7 linked regions of the Sus scrofa genome follow. Each later gene encodes a partner of the first gene's protein in a complex. Links are inferred from orthologs where the notes say so. Each region holds a gene or a part of one and is shown on either strand. Other genes may lie near its edges. The genes, in order: LSM2, LSM3, PRPF3, LSM5, LSM7, PRPF6 and SNRNP40.

What was found.
Region 2: LSM2 (region 1) and LSM3 share a complex: the UniProt entries of both Homo sapiens proteins name them as parts of the precatalytic spliceosome. The link is inferred for Sus scrofa from reciprocal best matches to the Homo sapiens genes LSM2 and LSM3.
Region 3: LSM2 (region 1) and PRPF3 share a complex: the UniProt entries of both Homo sapiens proteins name them as parts of the precatalytic spliceosome. The link is inferred for Sus scrofa from reciprocal best matches to the Homo sapiens genes LSM2 and PRPF3.
Region 4: LSM2 (region 1) and LSM5 share a complex: the UniProt entries of both Homo sapiens proteins name them as parts of the precatalytic spliceosome. The link is inferred for Sus scrofa from reciprocal best matches to the Homo sapiens genes LSM2 and LSM5.
Region 5: LSM2 (region 1) and LSM7 share a complex: the UniProt entries of both Homo sapiens proteins name them as parts of the precatalytic spliceosome. The link is inferred for Sus scrofa from reciprocal best matches to the Homo sapiens genes LSM2 and LSM7.
Region 6: LSM2 (region 1) and PRPF6 share a complex: the UniProt entries of both Homo sapiens proteins name them as parts of the U4/U6-U5 tri-snRNP complex. The link is inferred for Sus scrofa from reciprocal best matches to the Homo sapiens genes LSM2 and PRPF6.
Region 7: LSM2 (region 1) and SNRNP40 share a complex: the UniProt entries of both Homo sapiens proteins name them as parts of the U4/U6-U5 tri-snRNP complex. The link is inferred for Sus scrofa from reciprocal best matches to the Homo sapiens genes LSM2 and SNRNP40.

What each region holds. Positions count from the first base shown.
Region 1 is NC_010449.5:23,905,288-23,909,731, forward strand, and holds the start of LSM2 (U6 snRNA-associated Sm-like protein LSm2), read right to left. Parts: upstream 3,237-4,444; 5' UTR 3,011-3,236; coding exon 3,008-3,010; intron 2,399-3,007; coding exon 2,331-2,398; intron 1-2,330. UniProt on the Homo sapiens protein: Plays a role in pre-mRNA splicing as component of the U4/U6-U5 tri-snRNP complex that is involved in spliceosome assembly, and as component of the precatalytic spliceosome (spliceosome B complex).
Region 2 is NC_010455.5:70,345,784-70,350,309, forward strand, and holds the start of LSM3 (U6 snRNA-associated Sm-like protein LSm3), read right to left. Parts: upstream 2,898-4,526; 5' UTR 2,841-2,897; coding exon 2,820-2,840; intron 760-2,819; coding exon 649-759; intron 1-648. Other genes in the region: XPC (DNA repair protein complementing XP-C cells), read left to right, coding at 3,153-3,255, 3,549-3,692. UniProt on the Homo sapiens protein: Plays a role in pre-mRNA splicing as component of the U4/U6-U5 tri-snRNP complex that is involved in spliceosome assembly, and as component of the precatalytic spliceosome (spliceosome B complex).
Region 3 is NC_010446.5:98,754,391-98,758,397, forward strand, and holds part of PRPF3 (U4/U6 small nuclear ribonucleoprotein Prp3), read right to left. Parts: intron 3,677-4,007; coding exon 3,510-3,676; intron 1,776-3,509; coding exon 1,696-1,775; intron 53-1,695; coding exon 1-52. UniProt on the Homo sapiens protein: Plays a role in pre-mRNA splicing as component of the U4/U6-U5 tri-snRNP complex that is involved in spliceosome assembly, and as component of the precatalytic spliceosome (spliceosome B complex).
Region 4 is NC_010460.4:40,750,799-40,755,366, reverse strand, and holds the start of LSM5 (U6 snRNA-associated Sm-like protein LSm5), read right to left. Parts: upstream 2,978-4,568; 5' UTR 2,885-2,977; coding exon 2,839-2,884; intron 2,828-2,838; exon of another isoform or gene 1,951-2,827; intron 1,836-1,950; coding exon 1,740-1,835; intron 905-1,739; coding exon 877-904; intron 174-876; coding exon 101-173; intron 1-100. UniProt on the Homo sapiens protein: Plays a role in pre-mRNA splicing as component of the U4/U6-U5 tri-snRNP complex that is involved in spliceosome assembly, and as component of the precatalytic spliceosome (spliceosome B complex).
Region 5 is NC_010444.4:76,245,186-76,249,953, reverse strand, and holds the start of LSM7 (U6 snRNA-associated Sm-like protein LSm7), read right to left. Parts: upstream 2,930-4,768; coding exon 2,783-2,929; intron 2,691-2,782; coding exon 2,600-2,690; intron 1-2,599. Other genes in the region: SPPL2B (signal peptide peptidase-like 2B), read left to right, coding at 2,928-2,987. UniProt on the Homo sapiens protein: Plays a role in pre-mRNA splicing as component of the U4/U6-U5 tri-snRNP complex that is involved in spliceosome assembly, and as component of the precatalytic spliceosome (spliceosome B complex).
Region 6 is NC_010459.5:62,853,315-62,856,214, reverse strand, and holds part of PRPF6 (pre-mRNA-processing factor 6), read right to left. Parts: intron 2,135-2,900; coding exon 2,020-2,134; intron 1-2,019. UniProt on the Homo sapiens protein: Involved in pre-mRNA splicing as component of the U4/U6-U5 tri-snRNP complex, one of the building blocks of the spliceosome.
Region 7 is NC_010448.4:87,876,770-87,881,455, reverse strand, and holds the start of SNRNP40 (U5 small nuclear ribonucleoprotein 40 kDa protein), read left to right. Parts: upstream 1-1,832; 5' UTR 1,833-1,915; coding exon 1,916-2,059; intron 2,060-4,686. UniProt on the Homo sapiens protein: Required for pre-mRNA splicing as component of the activated spliceosome. Component of the U5 small nuclear ribonucleoprotein (snRNP) complex and the U4/U6-U5 tri-snRNP complex, building blocks of the spliceosome.

The sequences.
Region 1 (4,444 bases):
GATCTGGCATTGCCATGAGCTGTGGTGGAGGGTGAAGATGCGGCTCGGATCCTGCATTGCTGTGGCTGTGGTGTAGGCCAACAGCTGTAGCTCTGATTGGACCCCCTAGCCTGGGAACCTCTGAGGGTGTGGCCCTAAAAAAAGCAAAGAATTGGAAATAGCCTAAGAATCCAACAACAAGGTCTTGGTTAATTAGTTCTACCCAGCTAATAAAAATGCTATTCAGTAGTTCCTGCCATAGTTCAGTGGATTAAGAATCTGACTGCAGGGAGTTCCCAGCTGTGGCTCGGTGGTAACAAACCTGACTAGTATCCGTGAGGACACAGGTTCTATCCCAGGCCTTGCTCAGTGGGTTAAGTATCCAGCATTGCCATGAGCTGTGGTGTAGGTCACAGACAAGGCTCAGCTCTGTTGTTGCTTCGGCTGTGGTGCAGGCCAGCAGCTGCAGCTCCAATTTGACCCCTAGCCTGGGAACTTCCATATGCTGCACATGTGTCCCTAAACCAAGAAAACAAAACAAAACAAAACAAAAAAAACCCACAAAAAAATCCGACTACATCGGCTAGGGTCCTTACAGAGGTGTGAGTCTGATCTTCAGCTTGGTACAGGAGATTAAAGGATCTAGCTCAGATTGAATCCCTAGCCTGGGAACTTCCATTTGTCACAGGTGCAGCCATTTCAAAAAAAAAAAAGCACCTTTCAGACATTAAGAACGTTAAAGATCAACTTTATTGAGATGGAAGATATCCACAACATAGTGTCAGGTGAAAAAGCAAGTTTTACAATTGCACAGAGTATGACCCTGTTCTTAATTAAACAACAACAACAAAAAAGGATGAGGGGCAGGCAGAAAGGGATTTAAGTTCTGGCTTTGTCCTTTACTAGTTGTATAGACTTAACCAAGTTTCCTAACCTAGTCAAGCTTCAGTTTCCTCATGTAAAACAGCAACAACAGTATATGTCATGTAGAGGTGTTCAGAGAATTAAATGAGTTAATAAATGAGTATTCAGAGTAGTGCTTAGTCTATAGGAGAGCCTCAAATGTTAGCTTTTGTTTTCCCCTTCAGAACACATTAGGCACCTACTCTATACCAGGGCTGTGCTAGACACAGGTACACAGTGGGCGCTTAAACACATCTTGGCCCTATAGAAGACCAGCCCTAAACAGTAAATACATTTCTATGAAATCACAGTTTGAGAAGCACCCACTAGAAAGGAAAGACTCTATATGATAGAAGTGTCTATGGCCTAGAAGAACCAGGAAAGTGCAAGGATACAGCATTTAATCCACGTCCTAAAAGATGATTTGAAGTTAATGATACAAGGGGACGAGGGATGTAAAAACAGTACAGACACAAGGGACTGCACTGGTCATCTGTTTATCTTTTATACTGTCTACAACAAAAGGGCAATTATACCACATAGATGATTCTGCAACAGCTTTCCATATTAATACAACTCATTTCCATGTGGCAGCTGCCTTTAATGGAAATACCAAAATCTAACCCATTCCCTATTTTTTTTTTTTTTTGGTCTTTTTTTGCTATTTCTTTGGGCTGCTCCCGCAGCATATGGAGGTTCCCAGGCTAGGGGTCCAATTGGAGTTGTAGCCACTGGCCTACACCAGAGCCACAGCAACTCGGGATCCGAGCCACGTCTGCAACCTACACCACAGCTCACGGCAACGCCGGATCGTTAACCCACTGAGCAAGGGCAAGGACCAAACCCGCAACCTCATGGTTCTTAGTCAGATTCGTTAACCACTGCTCCACGACGGGAACTCCCCATTCCCTATTTTATTTTATTTTTTTGGCTGTGCCTGTGGCATGTGAAAAGTCCCAGGCCAGGGATGGAACCCGTGCCACAGCAATGACAACGCCACATCCTCAACCTGCTGCACCACAAGGGTACTCCATAACCCATTCCCTATTAATGGCTCCCCTCCACCAATTTTTGACTATTAAAACAAACAAACAAAAAAAAAACTACCAAAATTTTTGTACATAAATCTTTACTTCTGGAGTCAATACTTACATTTCTAGAATTTGGGTCAAAGGACCATGTGATTTCATCAGAAAAAACTTTTATTAAAAAAAAGTGATTGATGCCTCTGCCCCCTGACTTCTTTCTAGTACTTACATTTTTCTTTGGATCTTCTTCCCATAAAGATAAAACTCTGCAGCTAATCTGTCAGTTTAAGGCACAAGTCATTTCTTTCGTTTGTCTCTCTCCCATCTTGCCCAGCCCTCAAATACTTGTCAAATTAAAGAGGTTGTTCCGGAGGGCTGGGCACATCCACCCCCTACAGACTTGTCGGAACAGGTACCTACCTCAGGTCATTCTTGAGTTCCACGACCACATCCTTGCCCACAAGGGACTTGAAAAAGGAATAGAAGAGCTATTGGGCGAGAGGGGGAAAAAACATCATATGGGAAGGGACTTGGGCAGAGGCGTGTTCCCCGGCCAGTATTATGAGATACTGGTCCTGGGGATCCCCGCCGCATCTCTCTGGCAGTTCTCAAAACTTAAGAGGAAAGAATACTCGGAAAAACGGCTGGAGCCCCGGTGATTACTACCTCGAGCGCCTGACCTAAAGCCCGGGAGAGAGGCTCTGGCCCGCACGCCTCGGGCTCGGCTCTCAGTGGACCACCTCTCCCGGCGTCCTGCCCCCACTACCCAGTGAAGGGTACCAAGTGTAACACCCGCACCCTCTCGGGGCCTGGTCTGTCAGGGAAGTGCTCCTTGAGGTCTAGCTTTTCCCTCTCCTGCTGTTCCCGCCGACTCAAACAAATAAGACCCATTCGTTTTGAGGTCTCTCCCCAACGAACCTGATTTGCAGGAAGTAAGGAGGGAGAGAAAAATCCCAGGGCCCAACGTCAGCCCAAAGGAACAAAGCTCCCGGAGGGCCCCCCCGCCCCGCCGCCGCCCCGCGACCCCGTCTCCGTCCCCAACCATCCCAACGGTCGCGCTCCCCGAGGGCGCCCCCTTGTGACATCACGGTACCTACCATTGTGCTTGCACCGCGGGATGCCCGCCTGACCGGGAAGGCGAGGGCCGGGTACCGCGGTCCGGAGGCCGGGCGGGAACCGGAGCACAAGGCCGCGCGCGAGGCGGGGCGGGGTTGCGCAGGGGCGGCGGGAAGCGCCGCGGAAAGCTCAGGGTGACGGAGGAGAGCGGACCGTGCGCTCCGGCTACAAGCAGAGCGGGCGGGGTAGGACCGAGGGGACGCGAAAGCCAGGGAAGGGGCGGGGCTTCCCGCCTTCCGACTTCCTCCCCAAGCGGCCGGCTCCCACTGCGCAGGCTCGGGCTCTGACGGCTCCCCCGGCTTTCAAGTTTTCTTCCTTTTAAAAATAGTGTGGTTCCAGCATGATTTGCTCATACCCTGAAGACACTTACTATTGCAAACTGGGCGTTTGTGAAAACCCATGATGATTTGTACACTTTTCTATGTCTCTTACACTTTGATAAAAGTAAAAATGTTTGAGTTCCCAAGATCAGGAACCTGCACACAAATCCGATTTTGTCAAAGGTTCCCGATAAACTTATTTCTCCTGAGAACCCAACCTCAGTCCACATTTCTTTTACGCTTTTGCCTAGGGCTTTCCTGTAAGGGGCTGAGTAAAGCAAAACCGACTGACTCAGGGATAGAAATACCCATTCTGATATTTCACTTCCAAACATTGCCCTCTCAAACACAAAGGGACACAAATTCACAGTTACATGTATTTCTATACTCATGTCCCCAAAGCATTATCAGTATGCGATGACGCAAAAGGTGAAATTTTTTTTTCAAGGAATGAGATCCAAATAAATTCTCCATTTTCTCCTTTTTCTTTTTTGGTCTTTTTAGGGCCGCACCCACAGCATATGGAGGTTCCCCGGCTAGGGGTCCAATGGAGCTATAGCTGCCGGCCTAGGACAGAGCCACAGCAACACAGGATCCTAGCCGCGTCTACGACCTACACTACAACTCATCTCATGGCAATAATGGATTCTCAACCCACTGAGCGAGGCCAAGGATTGAACCCACAACCTTATGGTTCCTAGTCGGATTTGTTTCTGCTGTGCCACGATGGGAACTCCTAAATTCTCTGTTTCTAATCTTGCAAAAAAGCATCCATCTGGGAGTTCCCATTGTGGCACAGTGTAAATTAACCTATTATCCATGAGGATGCAGGTTCAATGCCTCACTCTGAGTCAGGGATCCGGTATTGCCATGAGCTGTGGTGTAGGATGCAGAGGGTGGCTCAGATCCCTTGTGGCTGTGGCTGTGGCCTAGGCTGGCAGCTACAGCTCTGCTTGGACCCCTAGCCTGGGAATTTTCATATGCCACAGGTGCAGCCCTAAAAAGCAAAACAAACAAACAAACAAACAAACAAAACAAAACAAAACAAAAAACCTCACTACCCATTTGTTAGGAGTTTGTTGTAGAAATATTTTCAGC
Region 2 (4,526 bases), on another chromosome or scaffold:
ATTCAACCCTCCCTGCCCTAAACACTGCAAAGGAAAGTAAGCAACACTGCAGCCTCGCCAGAACTAGCTGTTTGGCACATGTGGGCTCGATCAACAAGTACTGCAACTCAGACATTCAGAACTCAAAAGTATAGCATGATCCCATTCATTTTTTAGAGAGGGTGTATACAGTGTAAATATATACATATAGACACATATTCATGTATATCTGTTCTGTGTAAATATACAGAAAAGATCTGAAAGACTATAGACCCAATAGAAGAAATAGGATTTCACCTTTTACTCTACGTATTCCTGTGTAAAATTTTTCACAAGAAAACGCAAATTTATATGCATGTCAGTAATTTAAAGAACATTTAAATAAGAATGGAGGACAAATAAATCTTATTTACAAATAAACAGAAAGGAAAAAATGAAAGAAATGAAAATGTTCTCTAGTAGACATATTTCCATTAAGAGAAAAATGTGTTAAACATATGAATAAAGTACAGTTCATTTGGTGTTTAGAAATACAGGTGACTTTCCACCTCCTCATCTATTCAAAACACTCTTTCACAGTGGACAGTTTTTACATTTCCAAGGGGTGGGGTTAGGGAGCAACATTGAGGAAATAATCTAATTTCAAGGTGATTTAATAAATTTACTCACATGTAACCTGCCTCGAAGCTCTCTGTCATTTCTCATTTTCACATAGATTCGCTCATCCAGGCTGAGTCTGATGAGATCCAGGGGCTCTTCTACAGTGTTGGTAGTTTGTTGCTGATAAAAGAAACAGGCTTAGTAATACAGTTCTAGAGAGTGAAGTTTCTGAACCAGCAGTGCCCTGTGTGACTGTGAGCAAGTTAGTTAACCCCTCTATGCCTCAGTCTACTAATTTTTAAAATGTGTGTAACAGGAATGCCTACCTAATACTACTGTTGTGAGGCTTAAAATACATATATGAAGGCTTAGAACAGTGCCTAGCGTATATTAAGTGCTGGATAAATGAGGGCTGAAACATACCTACACAGAAAGGAGCTGTACAACAAAATAATCATGACTGCACTCTCTTCTCTCAAAATCCAAACTGTCTGACCCCATTTCAGGGTATAGGGAGTTACTGTCTCAGGGTCTTCATCTTTCTTTCATGTTATCATTTAGCAATTGGAAGAACATACACAATGACTACCACATACTAAGTGGAGATGAATGTTTGAGGAAAGATTATGAGTGCAGTGCAGGAGAGGCTGAGTTTAGGGTGCCATCTGGCCAGTAAGATGATTATATTTAGCAGGCAGTATAGAAAAATACTGGTTGAAAGCACTGGCTTTGGAGTCAGGCAGTGTGGGTTCAACCCCTGACTTTGACATTCATGAACTGGGTTTAAAAACCATCTCTAATTCTGTTTCCTTGTTTACAAAATGAGGAAGCCACAATCTTCCCTTCATGAAGATGGCTAGGATGACTGGGGTCCATGTGGAAGGGATGGTTGAAGGGAAGGGTGAGTTGATAAGATTATTTAAGGAGAGCTGCTTCGGGGATTACATAGGGTCATTGGAGGAAGGTGACTGAATGTTACAGTCTCTATAGCCTTAAAGGGCTAGATGCAAAAAAGAGAAAGGAAATCCTGACCTCAACTGCTTCCATCTCCAGATCAACAGATGTTTGTTAAAGACCAGCTAGCCAGTTACTAGATCAGTGATACAGGAGTCAGTCCCTACCCTCAAGGAGTTCATTCTAGTGGAGAAAGGCATATAAGTAAGTAATCATAATACTGTAAGAATATATACATGACAGAGACCTACCTCCCACTGTCCATCCTTTTTATCCTGTAGCTTTAAGTACTGCCTTTTCAAAAGGCCTCCCAGACCATCCAATTAATTCACTCAATGAATATTTGTTGAGTGTTTCCAGCACTGTTCTAAACCCAGAATAGTGAACAAAACAAGACTCTTGCTCTCAAGGGACTCACATTCTAGCTGGGGGAGACAGACATTAAACAAGGAACCATATACTCAATATGAACAAAGAACATGCTATGAGGAAAAATAAGGCAGACTGGGAGAGTGCATTTTATGCAGGTGGCCAGAGACCTATTCTTTGATATGAGGTGAGATTTCAGTAAACAGCTGAAGCTGCGGCCTAATCCACAAAAACATCTGAAGAAGAGCATTTGGAGAAGACGGGACAGCAGGTGAGAAAGCCTGAAGGACCATCAGTTATTCTAAATACCAGCTCCCTGTCTCCTGCCTACCACATCACAGTTTCCATATGTTTCGCATATTTATGTTTACTTGTTATCTGTGCTCCCTCGAATATAAGCCCCAAGTTGGGCAGGTATCTCCCAAGTCAATGCCGATGTCCCTGGTATTTAGAAAGGTTTCTAACTATACAAAGGTGATACTCACTAGTGTTTGTAGACCCTGTAATCATTGTTGCGCTCAGTAATGACAATAACCCACTAAATGTTTTATTAGCCTTTCTATCAGAATCCCGAGAGCTCCGTGAGGCAGGCAAGGATAATGGTTCTCATTCTACAAATCAACGTGAGACTCAAGAGAAAGGAAGTGAGAAGAGTGAGGAATAACTAATTTTCAGGAGGGTTTTGAACAACAAAGGTCTCAGGGCCTGAGGCAAAATTCGGAGGGGGCGCGGTTAACCAAGAGGCAGGTTAAGGCCGTGATGACCCAGAAAGAGGCGGCGTGACAGGCCACTTTCTCGTGAGTTTGGGAAAAGCAACCCTGAGCTTGGGGAAAACAACCCTGGTAAACAAAGCTGGGCACACCCTGGCCTGGACAGGGAGAAGCCGCCCCAGAGCGAACTCTTCAGAAGATACTCACCTGGTCCACGTCGTCCGCCATGTTTCAAACCCTGCGCCCTTTCCGTCCTCTCGCGAGGGCACGAGAGCTGCTCCCTATGCCCACCCCAGTCTCCGGAAACGTGAGGACTCTATGCACTGGAAGTAGAAAGAGGTTGGTTTTACAGCTTCTTGCTTCCTGCAGCTTGCATTGGTCCCTTTGAGGCTGGGGCGGAGCTTCAGCCTGGGCGCAGGCGGGAATCTACCGGAGGGGGCGTGACCAGGCCCTGCACCGCCTGGGGGCGGGGCCGCGCGCGAGCTGCGTCCCGCGGAGACGCGGTGCGTCACGCTCTAGGCGAGTCTTGCCCGGGCAGAGATGGCTCCAAAGCGCTCGGCGGGCAGGGCGCCGCGGGGGCGCAAACTGCGCGGCCAGAAGGCCAAGGGCGAGGGCAAAGCCCGGCGCGAGGAGAAGGAGGCGGGTATGAGCCAGGCTGAGTTGGGGTTGGTAGGGAGGGTGGAAGAGGTTTGGGTGGGGGTAGCAGGAGGCCGGCTTCCTGGAGGTGTGAGCGAGGCATCCTCCCTCCCACCTGCGCTGGGGGCGGTGTTCCGGAGGCCTAGGGAGGCTGGGGGTGTGCACGTGCCCAGGTGCTCCCCGGCGGCCCTGCGCCTTTGCTCTCCTGGCCAGAGGTGATGCGCCCTGAGACGTTCCGCTAGAGCCCAGCCGACCGCGAGTTCCTCTGCGTAGCCTCTTTCTGCTCCTTTTCGCCCCCAGGATGCAGGCGGAAGCAGGGGGCTGAATATGTGAAAGGTACTGCTATTATGTTGTGTCGCCACGAGACGAAGGGACCAAGACTTAGAGTGCTGTGGTGTGTGGAGAGTCCCAGATTTGGATCCCACCTGACAACGTGCATATCGAGTAGGCTGCTTATATTTGTCATGCGCAAAGCAAAACACTTGATTTCCCCTTTAAACCTATCCCTTTCTTACTTTTACCCCATATCAGTCTTTGACCCCTTCATCACTTGTTAAAACAAACTCCTTTTCCCTCCAACACACATCCAGTCCTTCAGAAAGCAAATCCTATCAGTTTAACCTCAAAACCATATCTCAAATCTCTCCACTTCTCTGTTTCCATGGCCACATACCCTGTCGAAACCACCATCACTTTTCAGTTGAACGACTGCAGTTGCCTCTCTACGGGTCTCCCTACTTCTTTTCATCCCCCTGGAGGAGTTTTCTGTGCTGCAGCGCAAAGTACCTTAAAAAAAAAAAATCTGATTTTGCCATGCTCCCACTTCAGACTCTCTGTGTCTTCCCATTGGCATAACAGCCTCCAGATTCCTCACCTTGGCCTACAAGACCCTGTATGATCTGGCTGCTGCTGCCTCTCCTGTTGTCTCTTCCTAGTCTTCTTTGCCAGGTACCTTCCTTCTTGGCCTCCTCACACACACCATGTGATTCCTCACCTGAGCCTCTGCCTAGAATATTTTTCCATGGCTTTGCTGTAGCTGACTTCTCTTCCTCCTGGTCTCAATCCAGGTATTCCTTGAATGTCCTAAGATGGTCTTTTCAGGTGCACCTTATCACAGCTTCTGTCACATCTGTAATGACCTTGTTAATTTATTTGCTTCCTGTTTGCTCTCTCTTACCAGAATTGAAAGTTATAAAAACATCTTAATTTTCTTATCTTGTTCTTTTCCCCTTCCCTGCATATACCAAATGCTTGATAAATAGTTTGTCATTGCATAAT
Region 3 (4,007 bases), on another chromosome or scaffold:
TGTTCCTTCTTGGTCAGATATACCCCAAGAGTAACTGGTGTGTCATTGTCAACTGTCAGGCAGGAAAATGAATGTACAAAAACAAATAGCATATTAGAGAGATATAGGTAAATATCAATCACATTAAAAGGACTTTTGGTTTGGGTTTTTTTTTATAATAATAATAATAATCCATGCTATTTTGGATATGTCTTTAAAAAGCATTCTTATATTTCAGGAGTTGTATTCTACTTGTTTTTCTTTTAACCTTTTAACCAACTGAAACGTGGCTAATGGAAAATATAATATTACAGCTGCTCTGGCTGCCCTGTGTGAGGATTTGGGTTAGGTAGAAGATATGCAGAATCTCATTTGGATCCTACCTATTGAACCTCAATGTGTCTATGGAATACAACTTGAAAACCACTGGCCAAGATGATGAAATTTATAATTTGAGAATTACTGGAATTGGAAAAAATCTTCTGGACTCCTAAAGAAGGTTTACTCGACTTGATAAAACATATAAAACCCTCTGCATTCTTTTGATGATTCATACTAATGACAGTTAAGTAGATTCTTATTAAATACAACTCAACAATTACACTTTGCATTATTTCAAGCTCTCAATCTATTTTCCTGAACTTATTGGAGATACTGGTAAGCAAATTTTTTATTTTCTGATTTTTATTTTTGTGATTATAGTTGATTTACAGTGTTTTGCCAATTTCTACTGTACAGCAAAGTGACCCAGTCACACATCGCAGTGACTGGATATAATTCCCTGTGATGGTGAGCAGATTTATTGATTGAGTAAACTTGGTAACTGAGTAAAAAACTAACTTCCTTTGTTTATTCCAAAACTGATCAAAGTGTTAAAATCTTTTATGATCGCTTGAAGAAGGAATATAACTTAATATTATTCCTACATATGAGGAAATTTTGTATTCTAAGTGATTTACACAAGGGATTCAGCTACTTAAAAAACACAGACACGATTAAAACCCATCTTTTTCAACTGAGTCAATACACTTTTGCTACAAAAATGATAGAAAGGCTGAAGACAAAGACTGAAAAAGGCCAGGACTTTAGTGGTGGTGTCTAAGACTAGAGTTGGGAGTCAACACTAACAAAAGGCCAATTTGTAATATACATCAGTGAAGCCATTTCTAGATTAGGCCTCAGTGCTCTACAGCTGCACTGTCCAATACTGTAGCCACTAACCACATTTTCTACTTAAATTTAAAATTAAAATTGAATAAAATTAAAAATTCAGTCCCTGAGTTATATATTATTACAACTCAGGTTTTAAGTTCTTTGTTTTGTGTGTGTGTGTGTGTGTGTGTGTGTGTGTGTGTGTGTGTGTCTTGCTAGGGCCACACCATATGGACGTTCCCAGGCTAGGGGCTGAATTGGAGGTGTAGCTGCTGGCCTAGGTCACAGCCACAGCAACATCAGATCTGCAACCTACACCACACCTCACAGCAATGCCAGATCCTTAACCCACTGAGTGAGGCCAGGGATCAAACCTGAGTCCCCATGTATACTAGTCAGGTTCGTTACTGCTAAGCCACAAGGGGAACTCCAGTTTTTAAGTCTTAATAGTCATATGTGGATAGCGGCTACTGTACAGACAGCTCACATAGAGAACACGTCCACTACCACATAAATTTCTATTGTATAATAGTTCTCTAGAGCTTTGATTGAGTAATCTATTACCTGGAGGGTTAAGCTGGGCTGGATGTTCAACAAGATTTGTGATTCCAAAATAATCTTCTCTCTTGGGATTTTCCTCTGTACTAAAATTGGAGGAAGAAGGGAAAACAGGATATGTGGGTAGAGATGATTCCAAGAGAGGGAGTCTCAGAAACAATGAAAAAATCCACTCTCCATAATGAATTCTAGCACTTTTATAAGTATTTGCATATCTATAATATGTAATTATATTACACATAATTTTCAAGATGAGAAAATGGTTCCATTTGGATGCACTCTTTATACCATTCTCAACCTTTTTTCTACCTCAACACCTTTGATGGATACCATGGACTCTCATTAGTAACAATAACTCCCCGGGGCAGTGGTTGGCCAAGGAAGGGTAAGGAAAGGCTGAGACAGTCTCCTAAAGCCATGTATCAAAATGATGAAGAAGATATGATAAAAGCTCTCCAAATGTTTCTTATATGCTTTATTTATTATTCTCTCCCTCAACAACTAAGAATCCTTGCTCTACTCTAGGTCTGGATCTTTAAGAAATATAAACACCTATTAAAAGGAGCAAAATAATGTATTTCATTTTCTGCTGGAAATTCCCAGGCCAGGGATCAAACCCAAGGAGCAGATGCCACCCATGCTATAGCTTTGGCAACACTGGATCCTTAACCAACTGTGCCACAGCAGGAACTACAAGAATGAAATTAAGAAAATATTCTGGAGTTCCCCTCATAGCTCCGTGAAAACGAATTAGACTAGCATCCATGAGAACGCAGGTTCAAATCTGACCTCACTCAGTGGGTTAAAGATCCAGCATTGCCATGACCTGTGGTAGAGATGGCAGATGCAGCTCGGATCCAGTGTCACTGTGGCTGTGGTGTTGGCTGGCAGCTGCCATTCCAATTCAATCCCTAGCCTGGGAACCTCCATAAGCTGCAGGTGCAGTGTTAAAAAAAAAAAAAAAAAAAAGAAAGAAAGAAAACAAATATTCTGAAGTTCTTGTTGTGGCTCAGCAGGTTAAGACCTCAACTAGTATCCATATGGATACAGGTTCAATCCCTGGCCTCGTTCAGTGGGTTGCTGCAAGCTGCAGTTTAGGTCACAGATGCAGCTCAGATTTTGTGTGGCTGTGGCTCAGATTCGACCCCTAACCAGGGAACTTTCATATGCTGTGGGTACGGCCATAAAAAGAAAAGAGAAGAAAACAAATATTCTGGAGTTCCTATGTGGCACAGTGGGTTACGTATCCAGCACTGTCACTACAATGGCTCAGGTCACTGCTGTGGCGTGGGATTCCTGGCCCAGGAACTTTTGCACATCAGGGGTGTGGCCAAAAAAAAAAAAAAAAAGCAAATAGAAAATTTATAATTATTTGCATATTTATTTATTTGTTTGCTTGTTTGTTTAGGGCCGCACCTGTAGCATATGGAGGTTCCCAGGCTAGGGGTCCAATTGGAGCTACAGCTGCCGGCCTATGCCACAGCCACAGCAACACAGTATTTGAGCCACATCTGCAATCTATACCACAGCTCACAGCAACGCTGAGCAAGGTCAGAGATCAAACCCACAACGTCATAGCTGCTAGTTAGATTTCTGCTGCACCACAACGAGAACTCCTCCACAAGTTATTTAGACTATTTGTGACCAATCCTCCTCCAATAACCCCAAAAAACCTAAAAATAACCCATACAACATACTCTTAACAAATATATGAGCTTGTGTGTGGTTACCTATTCTCCTTAGATCTAATTTAAAGCACAAGTATTGTCCTGCCCATTAAAACTCTAGCCTTACTAAAAGGTATTAACTAACAAACTCACAGGTCAAAGCCATTGGGGATGATGTAAGAGTCCCACCACTCAATTTCAGGGATATCTCCTTCCTTCAACTCCTTTTTAGGAGCAATGAGGGCCAGCCTAGTCGAAGTATGAATGCCTGTTTTTCGAGCTGCCTGTGAGATCTCTGCCTGTAGCTTCTCCAGTTGGGCCTAAAGATAAAAAAAAAAAAAAAAAAGAAGAAGAAGATAAATTGGAGTCAAAGAAAACAGGGAAGTAGTAGAATCCCATTTTTTTTTTGTGGCTGCACTCAGGAAATACGGAAGTTCCCAAGCTAGGGGCTGCATCAGAGCTGCAGCTGCCGGCCTACACCACGGTCACAGCAATGCCAGATCTGAGCCGCACGTTGTGACCTACACTGCAGTATGCGGCAATTCCAGATCCTTAACCCACTGAGTGAGGCCAGGGATCAAACCCACATCCCATGGATGCTAGCTGGATTTGTAACCTGCTGAGTCACAATGTGAACTCTCCATTTTTTTT
Region 4 (4,568 bases), on another chromosome or scaffold:
AGTACCACTGGGCCACAAGCATTTAGACAAGTTAGTTCTGTAATCCCTGCCCCATAAAAATGGCTTAACATCTAAATAAAATAGCTTTACTGTATCTTACCATTGTTATATTATTTCCATTTAGCAAAATTTGATCTAACTTAGTAATTCTTCTTCCTTCTGGTGTGATTTCACTAAACAGATTTTTTAAAAAGTCAGGATAAAAATAAAGAAAAAATTAAAACAAAACAAAAAGTCAGGATAAACAGTGATTGTCAAAGCCAACATTTTGATTCCCCCAAAAGGCTAATTATTATATATAAATGAAAACATGAGACAAAAGTTATCCATTGGTTTATTCTTCCCCACAGGGAATAGAGTTGACGGGCTCATCTAAGATCCACATCCACTAGGGCTGATCTTCACTTAAAAAGCTAAAACTTGCCTAGGAGATCAAATATGAAATAAAATGTTTACTATCCTCATTTTTTTTAACCATTCATTTGCTTCTGCTTCCTATCCATTATACCATTCTGTAATCAATTCAATTCTGAAAGCAGATCTACTACTGGTCACAATCTTTATAATTAATATAATTGAGCCATCATTTACATTTTCTATATTCAATTCAAAGTATTAAATACTTTTGATCTGAGCCCTAAGATCCCTCACTGCTTTTAGTGTCTTTTACCTTAAAGCTTTGTTTCCACTAATTTCCTAACAATTAAGGTAATAATCCTACAATCCAATTTTACTAACCTCAGTCATAAAATTTCTATGTTAGTGATTCAAACAGGCAGTGTTTTCTCATACATCATTTTACTGACTCAACAGTGCTACAACTGCCTTAAAGAGAGATTCCCCCTGCCCAATTCTTTAATTTTTAACACTACTCACAATTCAGTGACATCTTCCAGTACCATATCTGAAATTTGGTGTTAAGAAAATATATACCATGTTAAATTTACTCTGGCTTCTGTCTTTGTTCAGTTTTAATTATAACATTGGGAGTTCCCATCATGGCTCAGTGGTTAACAAATCCAACTAGGAACCATGAGGTTGCGGGTTCAATCCCTGGCCTTGCTCAGTGGGTTAAGGATCTGGCGTTGCCATGAGCTGTGGTGTAGGTCGAAGATGTGGCTTGGATACATCATTGCTGTGGCTCTGGCGTAGGCCAGCAGCTTACAGCTCCGATCAGACCCCTAGTCTGAGTACCTCCCTATGCCGAGGGAGCGGCCCTAGAAAAGGCAAAAAGACAAAAAATAAAAATAAAAAAATAACATTTAACATAATGACTCAAATTCAAATTGCTTGCGATTGGTAGGGGTACACACACCCCTTAAAACACTACCACGAATTCCATGAGAATAAATTAATTTTTATTATAATAATCAGTAAGCACTGACTATAGTTCTTACTTTTTTAAAAAAAACTGAAGATGGAGTTCCCGTCGTGGCGCAGTGGTTAACAAATCCGACTAGGAACCATGAGGTCGCGGGTTCCGTCCCTGGCCTTGCTCAGTGGGTTAAGGATCCGGCGTTGCCGTGAGCTGTGGTGTAGGTTTCAGATGCAGCTCGGATCCCGCTTTGCTGTGACTCTGGTGTAGGCCGGTGGCTACAGCTCCGATTCGACCCCTAGCCTGGGAACCTCCATATGCCATGGGAGCAGCCCTAGAAAAGACATAAAAAATAATAACAAAAAAAAATTTTTTTAATTAAAAAACAAAGAAAAACCCATACCCCCACTTTTTAAAAGGATACTGACAAAGTCATCAAATCCGAGAAGCGTGCCAACAATCTCTTTATCACTCTTCATCACAATGTGAATTCTTGATCCTATACACTTGTCTACAAGCTCTATAGATACAGGTTTTTTAAAAGAAAAATAAGTGGGGGGAGGGGTGAAAAAAATTATTTTGCACATTCATTACTTCAAGAAATATGTGAGTACTTACTGGCACTTATTACTTACATATGGTGAAAGATAAACCAAGAAAAGGATTCACTCAAAAACTTCAGGTCTCGGGAGTTCCCGTTGTGGCGCAGCAGAAACGAAGGCCAGCAGCTACAGTTCCAATGGGACCCCTAGCCTGGGAACCTCCATGTGCCTCGGGTGCGGGCCTAAAAAGAAACTTTTTTTTGTTCAATGAAGGAAAAAACTTTCCAATTACCGCCACGTCCACTAACTTAATTACCCTTCAGATACAAAATATTAGAAAAAGACATAACTGTCTTCCCCAGCCCCAAGACGGCTATCCTCTGTTCTCTGAGAGCAGCTTGAATATCTCTTCAGCAGAATTACTGTTACTTGGTATGATGTTTAATTGTCTGGCATCCTGTCTCCTGCGCTGGCATGAATGCTACCTGAAGCTAAGTTACGATGTCTAGTCTACAGATGCGCAAAAACTGTTTGTGGAATAAATGAATGACAATCAGAGCTAATTTCCAGTGTCCCCTTTTAAAGCTCATTGCAGACCCCGCTACCTCTCTCAATAACGGGCCAGACAGACAACAGGGTCTAACCTAGGGATTTTAAATGCCAGGTAGAAGAATGGGACTGCTATCCACTACTGTAAAGGCGAACTCACAACAAAAAAGGCCGACGACGCATTCACTAAGTGTGAACCTTTTCCAGTGACGGTTTGGTGTGAGAACTCAGAAAGTCCTGGCTCAAGAAAACCCTTCCACGCCGAAAAGACGCGGGCGGCCTGAGGCCTCAGAGCCTTAGAGCCCAAAGAGCCGCGGATAAAGAAAACAATTGGTCAGATACATTTCTCTAACACTCAGTCAAGGACTGCGCTGGCCCTCGGCCCGCAACCCTTCAGCTCCCCTCCCCAGCTCCCCACAGGACAACGATTACCTAGAGGTAGCAGCTGCGACGGGTTAGTCGTAGCGTTAGCCGCCATGGCTACGCCGGAAGTGGCCAGCCTCTACCGACGTTGGGAAGGCGAGTTTGAAAGAGCGCGCTTCCGCTTTTTTCCCCTAGCCCGGCCAGGCTCGACCAATCTGAGGCCGAGCGTGCGATCGGGCCAGTCCTACGTGAATCGCTCGGAGTCACTTCTTTCCTCCGCAACGAGATCCGGGGGAATACATCAGTGCGTTGAACATTCTGCGGCCTCAGCAGATACTTTGCCCTCCAAGTTTCCAAGACAAATTAAAGATATCTTGCCTTATAAATAAAATATTCCTCAACCTGGAAGACTGCAAAATAGAAACGTTTGAGTCGTTTGATTTTCCCTGGGTTATATTTCATTTCAACCAAGGATCTTCTGAAGACCAACATAAATATTTTTTCCGCCACTGATTTTATTGTGTTGCAATTTTTGTTAAAAAACAAAAGCAAAAACTTTTTTTTTTTACAGGAATCTACCGCTTTTTTTTTTTTTTTTTTTTTTTTTTTTCTTTTTAAGGCCACAGAGCAGATACATGGAAGTTCCCAAGCTAGGAGTCAAATCGAGCTGCAGCTGCCGGCCTAGCCACAGCCACAGCAATGTGGGTTTGAGCCGCAGCTCGCAGCAACAAGGGGATCCTTAATCCACTGAACGACCCCAGGAATCCAACACACGCTCAGGTATACTAGTTGGATTCTTAATCCTCTAAGCCACAAAGGAGAACTCCCTACCTTTTTTTTTTTTTTTTTTTTCTTTTCTTTTCTTTTCTAGGGCTGCACCTGCAGCATATGGAGGTTCCCAGGCTAGGGGTCTAATCGGAGCTGTTGCTGTCAGACTACGCCAGAACCACAGCAACTGCCAGATCCAAGCCACGTTTGCGACCTACACCACAACTCAGGCACAACGCCGGATCCTTAACCTACTGAGCGAGGCCAGGGATCGAACAGGCAACCTCATGGTTCCTAGTCGGATTCCTTAACCACTGAGCCACCACAGGAACTCCCCTACCTTCTTTTAAAGGTTCAGTGTAGGAGTTTCCATTGTGGCTCAGTGGTAAGGAACCCAACCAGTACCTGGGGACAGGGGATTGGATCCCTGGCCCCACACAATGGGCTAAGGATCCGGGGTTGTCATGAACTGCAATTGTAGGTCTCAGACGTGGCTGGGATCTGCTTTGCTGTGGCCTAGGCCAGAAGCTACAGCTACGATTTGATCCCCTAGCCTGGGAACCTCCATAGACTGCAGAGTGCGGCCCTAAAAAGACCAAAGGAAAAAAAGTTTGCAAACCCATAGCTAGCTTTAAAGAAATACTTTTCTGGGGGTTCCCCTCGTGGCTCAAAGGTAAGGAACTGGATTAGTATCCTTGAGGACAAGGGTTCAATCCCTGGCCTTGATAAGTGGATTAAGGACCTGGCCTTGCTCTGAGCGCTGGTGTGGGTCGCACAGGTGGCTCTGATACAGTGCGGCTGTGGCTGTAGGTAGGCCACAGCTACAGCTCCAATTCAACCCCTAGCCTGGGAACTTCTATATGCGTGGGTTCGGCCCTTAAAAAAAAAAAAAGAAAAAAGAAAGAACTTTTCTGTGATAGGAGGGATTTAAAATATGTTTTATTTTCTACTACTTTTTAAAATGCATTGCTCTTAATCTTGTATTTAGGTGTCTTTCAGACTTTTTGTATTCACTTTCTTCCACAAACACA
Region 5 (4,768 bases), on another chromosome or scaffold:
CAGATGCAGATGTGGGAGCAGCTGCTCTGGAGACAGGGGACCAAGGAGAAAGCGAGGGAAGGGCTCCCAGAAGGGGAGCAGTGTCAGCTGACCCCAAACCACCCCCACCAGAACAGTCAGCGAAACCTTGTGCCTGTTTTGTAAACAGTTTAACTGGCTCACAGCCATGTTCATTTGCTAAATGTCGCCTGTGGCTGCTTTCCTGCTGCAATGGCAGTTGAGTGGTTTCAAAAGAGACAGTCTGGCCTGCAGAGCTGAAAATATTCCATGTCCGGTCTTCTATAGAAAATGTCTGTCGGCCCCACCTGAGTTTGAAGCCCTGTCATTGCGTCCTTTTCCTGCTTGACCCTCCCCTACGGAACAAAGACTGTGATAGAACCTACTTCATGGGGTTATGGAGAGTGGACAATGCATTCGGGCACTTGGCCTGGGGGCCGGGAGCCCACACCTGTGGGTCTGCCCCCCTCAAGGGGACGGGTGCACTGTGGCAGGCGGGCAGGATTCTGAGACAGAACCGGCATTCCCTCACCCCGAGAACACGCCTGGGAACCCCCTCCCCTCAGTGTGGAACAGGAGCAACGATGGGACATCACTCTGTGGTCATGTGACAGAGACAGAAGGCTTCGCAGCTGTAATTAAGGTTCAAGAGTCGGCTGACTTTCAGTGAACCTAAAGGGAGGCTATGCTGGGTAGGCCCAACCTGAAAGGTGAGCTACTAAAGGAATGGGCACTTTCTGGACAAAAGAGATTTTCCTGCTGGCTTTGAAGAAGCAAACTGCTAGGCGATGGACAGAGCCCATGGCAAGGGCAGCAGGCAGCCTCCAAGAGCCAAAAGGGTCTCTGGCCCACTTTAGCCAGAATACGGGGACCTGAGTCCAACAACCAGTGGGCAGGCAGGAGGAACTGGGTCTCAGATGACAAGCTCCCAGAGACACTCTTTTATGGCCACCTTGTCAGCGACCTGAGGCACCCAGAGTATAGAAACCACGCACACTGTTGAGATAAAAACGTGTGTTGTTTAAGCAGCTAACTGGTGGCCGTTTGCTCCGCAGCGTTGCAAACATAAGCACCCCGAGACGAGACCTATCTCCTATGTTTCAGAGCTAGGATGGTACTAGCATGTTCAAATCCTCACTGTGCCAGGTACCTCGACTGGCAGGCACTGACTGTGCTTTTAGCCATTCTGATGCTACTCAACTGTCCACAGCTCAGGGAAGGAGGGATCTGGAGCACTGTTTAAGAAACTGAAGATCAGAGGAAGCTGAATAAGTGAAATGTTGACCTTGAATTATCTGTCAGGGACTTCCTATCGTGGCTGAGTGGTTAGCAAATCTGACTAGGAACCATGAGGTTGCAGGTTTGATCCCTGGCCTTGCTCAGTGGGTTAAGGATCTGGTGTTGCCGTGAGCTGTGGTGTAGGTCGCAGACACGGCTCGGATCCCGAGTTGCTGTGGTTCTGGCATAAGCGGCGGCTACAGCTCCGATTAGACACCTAGCCTGGGAACCTCCATCGGGAACCCTGTTAACACTTTACCTGCCTTGAACTCTTTAATCCCCACTGCTGAGGTGGGCGGAGTCAATAATAGCCTCTGACAAAGGAAGAGACTGAGGCTCAGAAAAGATAGTGCCTTGCCCAAAGTTCCACAGCAGCTGAGTGGACAAGAGGGCTCTGCCATGGACGGCACTGCCCGCATGACCCTGCAGTCTCCTTACCAGATTCCAGTAGGAGACGCAGAGTTAAAGCCTCACAATAACAGCAGAAAGCTGCAAACTGTGTGACAGGTACTAGTAGAAGCTCATAACAAAGAGGCCTGACCTGGGCTGGGGAGTCAGGGAAAGCTTCCCAGAGCAATGGTATTGAGCTGCCAGTGGGGAAATGACCAAGTTAACTTGGTAGCCAGTTAACCTGGTAAAGGTGCTCAAGACAGAGAAAACAAGTATCTTTACAGCCCTGTGGCGGTTGAGAACTCCCAGCATTACTCTGGAGCAAAAGGTTCCTCCTTTACCCTGGAACAACCGTGAACAAGGAGATGGGATTTCTTTATAACAGATCCCTCTGGTGGCTTCATAAAAATTGACCATAGGGCCATGGTTCTCAACCGGGTCAGTTCTGTCCCCCAAGGGACAGTGGGCCATGTCTGGGAGGTCTGTGGTCGTCACGAATGGGGGGCTCCTGGCATCAAGTGGGTGGGAATCAGAGATGCTGTTTCACACTCTACAACGCCCAGGACAAACCTCCACAGAGAACACTGCTGCCCCAATGTCAGCAGTGCCGAGCCTGAGAAACCCTGGTGCAGGAGCACGGTGAGGAGCTGGGGCAGCCACCTGGGTGAGAAAGAACCACAGCAGGCAGAGCAGTGAATCCCAGCCACTGGGTTTTGGGTTAGTTTGGGGCCTTTTCCCGTGCCTCAGTTTCCCCACCTGCAACAGGGCCGTAATCGTTCCTACCTCCCGGCGCCTTTTGCAAGCCGGCACGAGTTCTCCGAACTAAACGATTAAAGCGCCGCCCAGGTATTCGTCATCAGTACCGCTGCCCGTTACCCCGTGTGGACCTTAAGAGGGGGAGAGTGGGGGGGGGAGGCAGGGGGCGGGGCCTCACCTTCGCGGCCTCCCTGGAACTTCACCCGAATAGTCTTGTCGATGTACTTGGACAGGTCCAAGATGCTTTCCTTCTTTTTCTTCTCTTTGTCCTGCGAGGAAAGCACATTGCGTGAGGGGGGAAGCGCGGCCAGATTCTGCCCCGCCAGCCCCTCCAGCCAAGCCAGCCGCGCCGCACGCTCACCGCCATCTTGCCGCCGCCGCCGCGCCGCGCCCTTTGGCCTCTGCCCCCTGCACATGCGCGGCGGACGCCTGGCGCCTGCGCAGCGCGGGGCGCCAAGGCGTTGCTGGGAAACATCTGCCGACGCCTGCGGCGGGGACCGGGCGACATGGCGGCGGTGGCATCGCTGGCTCGGCTCGCGGCGGCCTTCGTTCTCCTCGCAGCCCAGGTGAGGGCGGCGCCGACCCTGGCGGCCTCGCCATCCGCGGTGCCATTACTCCTTGGCCCCCCGACCCCGCATAGGGGTCCGCTCGGCCTGGCCTGGGGGTCAACCTAGGGTGTCCGTGCCCCCTACGCGGTCGGCCCGCGGGCTCGGGGCCGGCAGTGACCTTGCCGGACTGTCCCCGGCGCGTCTGCCTTCCCTGCCTGGAAGCCCTTCCCAGCCGCAGCGTCACCAGGCCCCGCCGGAGTCTTAAGGGGGGGTTCCCCCTCTCCTGCCCCGAGCCCCGCTTGTCCACCCCGGGGTCTCCAACCGCCGCCAGAGACGCCCCTCTAGCTTCGTGACTTTGGTCTGGGAGCTACCCCTCTCCGAGCCTCAGTTTCTCCTTGAGTGCGACGCTATCTGCCTCGACCGTGGTTGTGGTAAACTGTCCAGCGCGGCACCCAGGGTCTGGCGGTGTTGGGACGCAGCCGGGAGCCCAGCCCCGAAGTGGGGTCGAATCGCCGCCGCATCTTTTGCTCGCATGACCTTGGCAAGGGAGTTCCCCGCTTTGAGTATCAGTTCCTTGTCTGCAAAAGGAAGATAAGTGTACAGTATAGAGTCAGCGAGATGATATATGGGATCATGAACGCGCAGCATGCTACTTCTCTGTCATTTAACGTTAAGGGTCTCCAGGTGCTAGTGGGGGGAACTACCACGAGGTGGCTGATATACATTGTCATAAGTGCATCTTTTATTACCAAATCCTCCCCCTCTCTCAGGTTCCACAGCTTAGGCAGTGGTGGCCCCCAACAGCTCCCAAAACTGGGTCATTAGCCTGCTCCAGCCCCTCCACCTCTGCTCCAGGCAGATGGCTTTCCTCTGTGGCCACTTTTGTTCTCTGCACCCCCGGTTCATTCTCAACACTGCAGGAGCGATCTTTCTCAAAGTGTGTCATGTCTTGTGCCCAGAGGAGAGCCTTCTGGCAGCTTCCTGGTGCATTCGTGAAGCCCCTGTGATCTGGCTGTCAGGAAGCTTCCCCTTTCCAGCTCTAGTGTATTGAAGGCTCCCTGCACTTCTCTCTTTCGCCCAGGGTCACAGAATGGTAGGGAGTGGGTTTAGGGCTGTGAGCAAGCAGCCTCCTGTCAGTGGAGAGCTGGTCTTCCTCTTGAGCGCCATGAAGAACCAGGCCCAGGGAGGGTTCTGTATGTAGGGTTGTGTATGAATTGCCTGGTCATACACTTAGCCTCAGCTTCATTGCCCCTCCCTCTCAGGCTCTCTGGGACGCCCCCCTAGCTGCTTTGCCAGCCCCCTGTACTTCCCTGAGCCCTGTTCACTCATTTTCCTCAGCTGTCTCAGCAACTCGAGGCAGGGACCTTGAGCTGTCTGGGTATTCCAAAGGAGTGCAAAGCTAGAAGCAGGGGGAGGGTCATGGAAACACCACAGAATGAGGGATGCAATTGGCCTGGGAATGCTTTTCAGGAGCAGCGGTGCCTGCAGGGTGTTCTGAAGGACGAGTAGGAGTTTGCTAGGTCAGGAGAGCAGATGGAGGGTGTTGCAGGTGATGTGAGCAGGGCCAGGCAGAAGCGTGAGAGCTTTATTTGGGGAAGCTGTGGCTCCGCTCTAACTGGTGTATTTTCAGTACAGTGGTTCCACCTGAGAATGGTGTCATCCCAGTGGAGGCTCAGGTGCACTGGCAGGGAGGCCAGGGAGGGAACGTCAGGGGAGTGGCTCCAGGCCGAGGGTAAAGGGCAGATGGAGCCTGTGGCCCTCCCAGGCTGGGGTCCAGGGAGTGGGCTGGACAGGTCAGA
Region 6 (2,900 bases), on another chromosome or scaffold:
AAACAGGAGTTACCATTGTGGCTCAGCGGGTTAGGGACCCTACGTAGTCTCACTGAGGATGCAGGTTTGATCCCTGGCCTTGCTCAGTGGGTTAAGGATACGGCCGGCTGCAAGCTGTGGTATAAGTCACAGATGCGGCTTGGATCCAGTGTTGCCATGGCTGTGGTGTAGGCCAGCAGCTGCAGCTCCGAATTGACCCCTACCTAGCCTGGGAACTTTCATACGACACAGATGTGGCCTTAAAACGAAACACACACACACACACACACACACACACACACACACACACGAGTTCCCTGAGAGCTCAGCAGGTTAAGGATCCTGAGCTGTCACTGCTGTGGTGCAGGATCAATCCCTGGCCTGGGAACTTCTGCATGCCGCAGGCACAGCCAAAAAACAAAAAAACCCAAAAAACCCCCACCACTCACACGGAGCAAGAACCTCAGACTCCTTTAAATTGTTTTCCTTTGAGCCAAGTACCAGGAGAGAAAGCCAACCCCACAAAACATCAGACCACGGCCCTGACTGGGGGAGTGAAGTGCAGTCTCCTCCAGCCCCTCGGTTCTCACCTCCTGGGACATTTCGCCTCAGGAGGCAGCTCCAGCAGGAGCCCAAAGCCAAAACAGAGAACCTGGGCCACAAGCAGACACGCCTGAAAACCAGACCCGGAGAGGAGCCCTGGGGTCCAAAGCCAGACCGGGAACCCAGGGAGCTGTCCCCACAGGCCAGCGAGGGCGGGAAGGCAGAGGGGGGGCTGCCCGCCTCCACCCAGCTCCCCCGCCAGAAGCACCAGCGCAAACCCTTCAGGCAGCTGTTTCAGGCTGGGCTCAGCTTCGAAAGGAATCACTCCAGGCTCTGATAGCCTGATTGTTTTTTAAGCCTTGCGGTATTCTTAATTGCTTGGTGTTAGATAAACTGTGATTTAAAGAGCACAAACCCAGATAGCAGCACACAGCACCAGCCTGGGAACAGCGGGAAGGAACCTGTTTACTTTACAAAGCCTTTTATGAGGTTTTATGGCAGCCCTATCGGAGTGTCACGCACAAGTCACCGTGGGAGCCCTGGGAGGGCCCAAGCTGGGCCTCTGGGGCCTGCAGGAAGCCCCAGGCGCAGTGCCTCCCCTGCAGCGGGGCGGAGGAGCCGGGCAGAACCTGAGCAGGGGGGCCCAGGCTGCCCGGGATCCCGTCAGGCAGGGACAGCACCTGGGAGCTCCCCGGCCCACACCCCCTCACGCGGGGGGGCGGGGGGGAGAGCCTCGATGACGACGATGATGCTTCCAGCCCTTCCACCCCGCCACCTCCCAGCCCTGACCACACCCACCCTCTGCCCTGCACTCAGGTTCTGCTCCTCTCAGGCCCCTGTCCTTCGAGAAGGGAACAGAGACCCTGTGAGGTTAGGAGGGTCTCAGGCCCTGCACACACTGGCCTCAAGCTCACCCAGTCCTTTCAAGGCCCCGAGCTCCCTCTTTCCACACGTCTCGTCTCGACGGGGCCTCTGACCCAGCACCCCACAGAGCCGCCTCCCCTGGCCCTGGAGGCCAGGTCCCCTGAGGACAGGTGGCTCCGGCAGAGTCGCCTCCACACCCCCGGGGACATGGGCTGGGCCTGGCCACAGGCCCTGGATTGTTCCTGGGCTGCAGGGGTCAAAGGGCCTGCCTTCTCACCCTAACCCGATGAAAGCAATGTTCTTGCTTACAGCCCTTTGGACCAAGGGAGGCTTGCTTATAACTTCAGTTCTCTGAGGACCAGCGTCAGCAGGCCTGTGCCTGTCCTGCAACCCACGGGACCCACAGGAACAAACTGAAAAGTGGCAGAGACGGCAAGAGCAGACCCACGAGAAGGAACGAGGAGAAGGAAGGCAGGTCAGGGATGAGCAGGCAACCCAGGCCCATGCGGCCTCTGACTGGGGACGTGCTCCATGGTGGAGCTGCGGGGGCCAAGGACCAGGGGAGCCCACCCTCTCCCAGGGACCAGGAGGCCCCGGCAAGGTGCTCAGAAGCACCACAGGGACCCTACTCACTTGGCCACAGCCAGGAGCACGTGGGGGTCGTGCTCACACTTCTTCAGGGCATCCACACTCTTGGTCTTCCTCTGGGGTCTCGCTTCCAGGAAGATGGCTTCGGACCAGAGGACCCCTAAAATCCATAATGCAGACAACCCACCCTGCTTTCAGAAACATGCCCATCCACACACAGGCTGCCCGAGGTCAGCCTTTGAACGTTCTAAGCCCAGTGTCCACAGCTACGCCTCCTGCACATTTGGGGAGAACAGCAGGGGCCAGCGGCACCGCCCACCCCCCACAGCCAGCAGCCCAGGTGGCACAGACAGGACAACTTTCTGGGGGCAGGGGGGCCGGAAGTCCAAACACCTCTAAGGTTTCATTCCCACTGACTCTGTGACTTCGCAGCTAAGAATTCACGGTCACAAAACCATCGGAAGCGCTACCACAGACCCGCGCAGGGCCACAACCCAGGGGTGGCTATCAGACTACAAACAGACCCCCCCTCCCGGGAGGGGGACGGGGGGGGGGGTCACACACCCAGACAGCTCAGTGAAGCCACTAAGGAACGTACATTCTTGAAGATTCAGTAACAGTGAAAAACTCTCACAGATTTAAAAAAGGAACAAGGAGTTCCCGTCGTGGCGCAGTGGTTAACGAATCCGACTAGGAACGATGAGGTTGCGGGTTCGATCCCTGGCCTTGCTCAGTGGGTTAAGGAGCCGGTGTTGCCGTGAGCTGTGGTGTAGGTCACAGATGCGGCTCAGATCTGGCGTTGCTGTGGCTGTGGCGTAGGCCGGTGGCTACAGCTCTGATTCGATCCCTAGCCTGGGAAACTCCACATGCCACGGGAGTGGCCCAAGAAAAGGCAAAAAGATGAAAAAAATAAATAAATAAATGAA
Region 7 (4,686 bases), on another chromosome or scaffold:
ACTGAAAGAGCTATGGTAAGAACTGGTAGAACTTCCGAGGAACAATTCCTAACCCACCTAACAGAGGGTTGTCATGGCTCAGCGTTAATGAACCCAACTAGTATCCATGAGGACGTAGGTTCCATCCCTGACCTCAGTCAGTTAGTGGGTTAAGGATCTGGTCTTGCCGTGAGCTGTGGTGTAGATCGCAGACTTGGCTTGGATCCAACGTTGCTGTGGCATAGGCCAGCAGCTATAGCTCTGATTTGACCCCTAGCCTGGAAACCTCCATATGCCTTGGGTGAGGCCCTAAAAAAGAGACCAAAAAAAAAAGTTATGGCCATCATTGCAGAAAGTCACAACACCAAAAAGCTGGTGACTAAGAAACCCACTGCCTCTACTATGGTATTTGCCAGCAAAGGAGGATGCCTCTCACCCTCCTCCTTTCCCTTCCAATTCAATTCTCATCTTAGGTGCAAAGGAGTCTAGAAAATATCTACCTCTCAGTTCCACCAACACTCTATAGTCTTCATTGCTAACAACTCTCACCTCAGCGGTCTATTTGCATTTATCTCCCCTCCAATCTATTCAAACTACTGAGCCAGAAGGACCAAGCTGCCTCCTCCATCACACCACCTTCTCCACTGCAAAATACAAAATAAAACCTCAGTGATTTCCCATCAGTCTTAAAGAAAAGCTACAAATTCCTACACAGTCTGGCTTCCACTTGCCTCCAGCTTCATCTTGTACCACACTCCCCTTTATTCTCTTTGTCCTGGCAACACTGGCCTCTTTGTACCTTTTAGTCATTTTCCTCTCATTTGCCATTGGGCCTCTGCACATGCTGTTCTATATGGAATATTCTGCCCTCCTCTCTTCCCCCAACTAATTAGAATTCTTCCTTCAGGCATAGGTTCAGGCATCTTTTTGTTAGACAAGTCTTCCGGCTTATTTCTGGCACTCAAAACACCAGGTACCTTTCCCTGGCAGCACTTACTTTGCATTCCCTATAAAGATCATTGTTGAGCATCTGTTTTTCCCATCGGACTCAAAGCCCTGAGGTCAGGGACCATGTTTGGTTCACAATGTCTCCTCAAAGCTTTGCACCATAAATATCAGTTGAACGATTAAGGAGAAAACCTACTTCACAAGTATGAGTCTGAATTTCTCAGCCAAGACTGTGCTCTGGAGACCAAGAGTCGGACATTTCCTTCATCTCTCTCTCTCTCTCCCTCTCTCTCTCTCAGGGGCACAGAGCAGGCGCTGGTAAAAGGCTGCAGTATCACGGCAGAAAGAAGTCGGCCTCCAAAGTCTGAGACGACCCTGGTGGAGGCTGGGAAACTGACCTTTTCTCCCAAGGAGCACCTGGCACAGGGCTCGACACAGAAGGCGCTTGTTAAAGAAAGCAGCCGTCGAGGGCCCCAGGCAGGCGCAGAGACCCCACTGCTCTGCTCCAACCTAGAAAGGGAACCCAGGCCACCATACACCAAGAGCTAGGAACTCAGGGGCCCCCTCTGCCCTCTGCGATCAACCCTGGGCTGAGAGAGGCCAGCTTCAGACCACACAACGGAGGCGCCGCCTCCAGATTCCGCAGCCACCCACCCCCAACACTTACTCGGAGTTAGCGTCAGGTCTCCCCGCCGCAGCATTGCGCGAAACGCCAGAACCCAGTCAGCGCGCTTCCACCCACAAGACCCAGCGCGCCGAGGCGGGACTCCAGCTCGTTCCACCAATCCTGGAATCGTACTCTAGTGACATCAGAATGAGTTGCCCAATAACTGGAGACTCCCCAGGGGGCGGTGCAGAGGGGAGTATTGGAAGCCGATTGGTTTCTCCAAGCCGGAAGTTCTAAGGGAAAGACTAAGTCGGAGCCAATCGTGCGCTCCCTGAGGGTGTCGGCGCGGTCAGTGGCGGCCTGAGGAGAGCGGTTGCCGCCATGATAGAACAGCAGAAGCGCAAGGGCCCAGAGTTGCCTCTGGTCCCAGTCAAGCGGCAGCGGCATGAATTGCTTTTGGGAGCGGCGGGGTCGGGCCCGGGAGCCGGGCAGCAGCAGGCGGCGCCGGGAGCTTTGCTGCAAGCGGTGAGTAAACGAGCAGATGGCCTTCGGCCCTCAGCTCATCTTCCTGTCTCCTCAGTGCTCCACCGTGAGATCCCGTACCGGCCCTTTCCCTGCACTGCGGGGGCGGAACGGGACTCACACCAGGGAGTTAGAGCAGAAAAACCTGTTAAAGCGGTCAACACCCTGCGATGCTACGTTTCCCCGTTTGACGTTTCAGCGTCTCGATGGCCCTGTGAGGGGGCGTTAGAATTAGTGAGGGATCTTAAAACTGGGCCCCGGGCTTTCGCATCCTAAATCTTCCAGGGATCCAGCATAGAATAAACGTTCAGGAAAGTTGAAAGAGTGGATGGATGAATGAAGGAAGAAAGAAAGGAAGGAAATGAACGATACTAGCTCGCTTTGGGACTTGGGGCAACTTGCTTTGGGGAAAACTCTTTCTCTGCACTAGTATTAACAACTGAAGAATAGGTAACACTTATTGAGCCATGTACTAAGTGTTTTGTATATGAAAACTCCATTAATCTTGGTCACTGCCTAAGAGGTAGGAATTGTTAATTGTCCCATTTTGTAGATGGGGAAACAAACTTCTCTAATAAGTGATAGAAACCGATTTTAAAATCAGAATCCAGGCTTTTAACTAGAGTTCTTATAAGATAGAGGTAGTGATGGATGACATCTCTCCTTCTGCTCTATTAGGCTTAGCTGAAGAATATATGTCCCCTCCTGAAACTCCTCAATCAGGCTGTCAGCAAATCTTTGCTGGCACCATCCTTAAAATAAACCCAGATTTGTTACCACTTCTAAATATCTCCATCACTACCTCCTGATCTAAGCTGTTATTCTCTCACCTAGTATTCCTGCTGTAGGATCCTGATGGCATTCCTGTTTCTTTTCTCAGATGCTCATTCTATTCTCAGTCCAGCAGCCGGAGGAATCCTTCTAAACATCAAATCATGTTAACCTCTGCTGAAAACATGCCATGGCTTTTCGCTTCACTCAGAGTAAAACTAAAATCCTAACAACCTTTTGCCCTCTTTCCCTTGACCTCTCTGATCTACCAATTTTCCATTGCTCACCTTACTCCAGTCACATTGGCTTCTATGCTCCTACCACACACAAAGCCTTTGCATTTTCTTTTCCCACTACTGGAGTGTTCTTTTTCCAAATGTCCACCTGGTTTACACACTCAGCTCCTCCAAGTCTCTGCTCAAATATCGCTTTTTCCATGAAGGTTTTCCTGACCAACCTGTTTTAAATTGCATACCTGGGTACTCACTAACACATTGCTGTTTGGTTTTCTCCATGGTACGTACCACCACCATCTATACCTTATACTTGTTTCTGCCATCCCTCCCTCCTTTCTGTCCCTCCCTCCTGCTAGAATACAACCTACATTGTTTATTTTGTTCAACACTGTTTTCTCAATGTCTAGAACAGTGCCTGACACATAGTATTTTTTGAGTAAATGAATAAGCTGGAAACTACTGATGAGATTTAGGAATTATTAATAGTGTATTTGTTCTTTTGGTTTTTTTTCTTTAGGACAGCACCCATGGCATATGGAAGTTCCCAGGCTAGGGGTCAAACCAGAGCTACAGCTGTTGGCCTACGCCACAGCCACAGCAACTCAGGATCTGAGCTGTGTCTGCGACCTACACCACAGCTCACGGCAACGCCGGATCCTTAACCCACTGAGCTAGGCCACAGATTGAACCCATATCCTCATGGTTCCTAGTCAGGCTTGTTAACCACTGAGCCATGAAGAGAATGCCAGTGTATTTGTTCTTCCATCTGACAAGTAAGAATATCAGCTCAAGTTTCTGTGAATTGCCCAAGCCTAGGCTTAGTGGCTAAAACCGTAAACAAGACTACTTTCCTTAGTAACCTTGTACCCTGCAAGGTTGTTGGGAAGCTCAATTCAATCATTCATTCATTAAATGAACTAGAAACTGGGAAGACTGTTGAATGACTCTATAGGGTTCCTGTGGTCACAGAGCTTTTCTAGTGGCACAGTAGGGGAGACACTGTAAACAAGTAATGAGGAAGGTAATTTCAGGTAGTTAGAGAAGTGCTGTGAGAGGTGTTGCCGTTGTGGTGCAGCAGAAACGAATTCGACTAGGAATCATGAGGTTGCGGGTTTGATCCCTGGCCTCACTCAGTGGGTTAAGGATCTGGCGTTGCTGTGGTTCTGGCATAGGCCGGCAGCTGTAGCTCCCATTAGACCTCTAGCCTGGGAACCTCCGTATGCTATGGGTGCAGCCCTAAAAAGCAAAAAAAGAAAAATGAAGTGCTGTGAGAGAATCCCTAAGGTTGATAGCATGTAGAAGGGAGGTGGAAGAGTGCTGCTTGAGTTTGAGTGTTCCAGGAAGGACTTTCTGAAGCAGAAATGTTTGAGAGGAGTCACACACAGGAAGATCTAGGGGAAGGGGTTTCTGTCTTGTTCCTGCGGGTTCAGCTACAAGTATAAGAGATCCTGAGGCAGAAATGAGTTTAACATGTTTGAGCAATCAAAAGTAGGAGCGCAGTGAGGGAGGAGGAGAGTTAGCATAACAAACAGACCCTGGAAACTTCAGAAGAAGAGAATCTAATTAGAGACGTAAGTTATGTGAGAAGAGTTGCCATTATCTAAATCAGGAAAAATATACTCA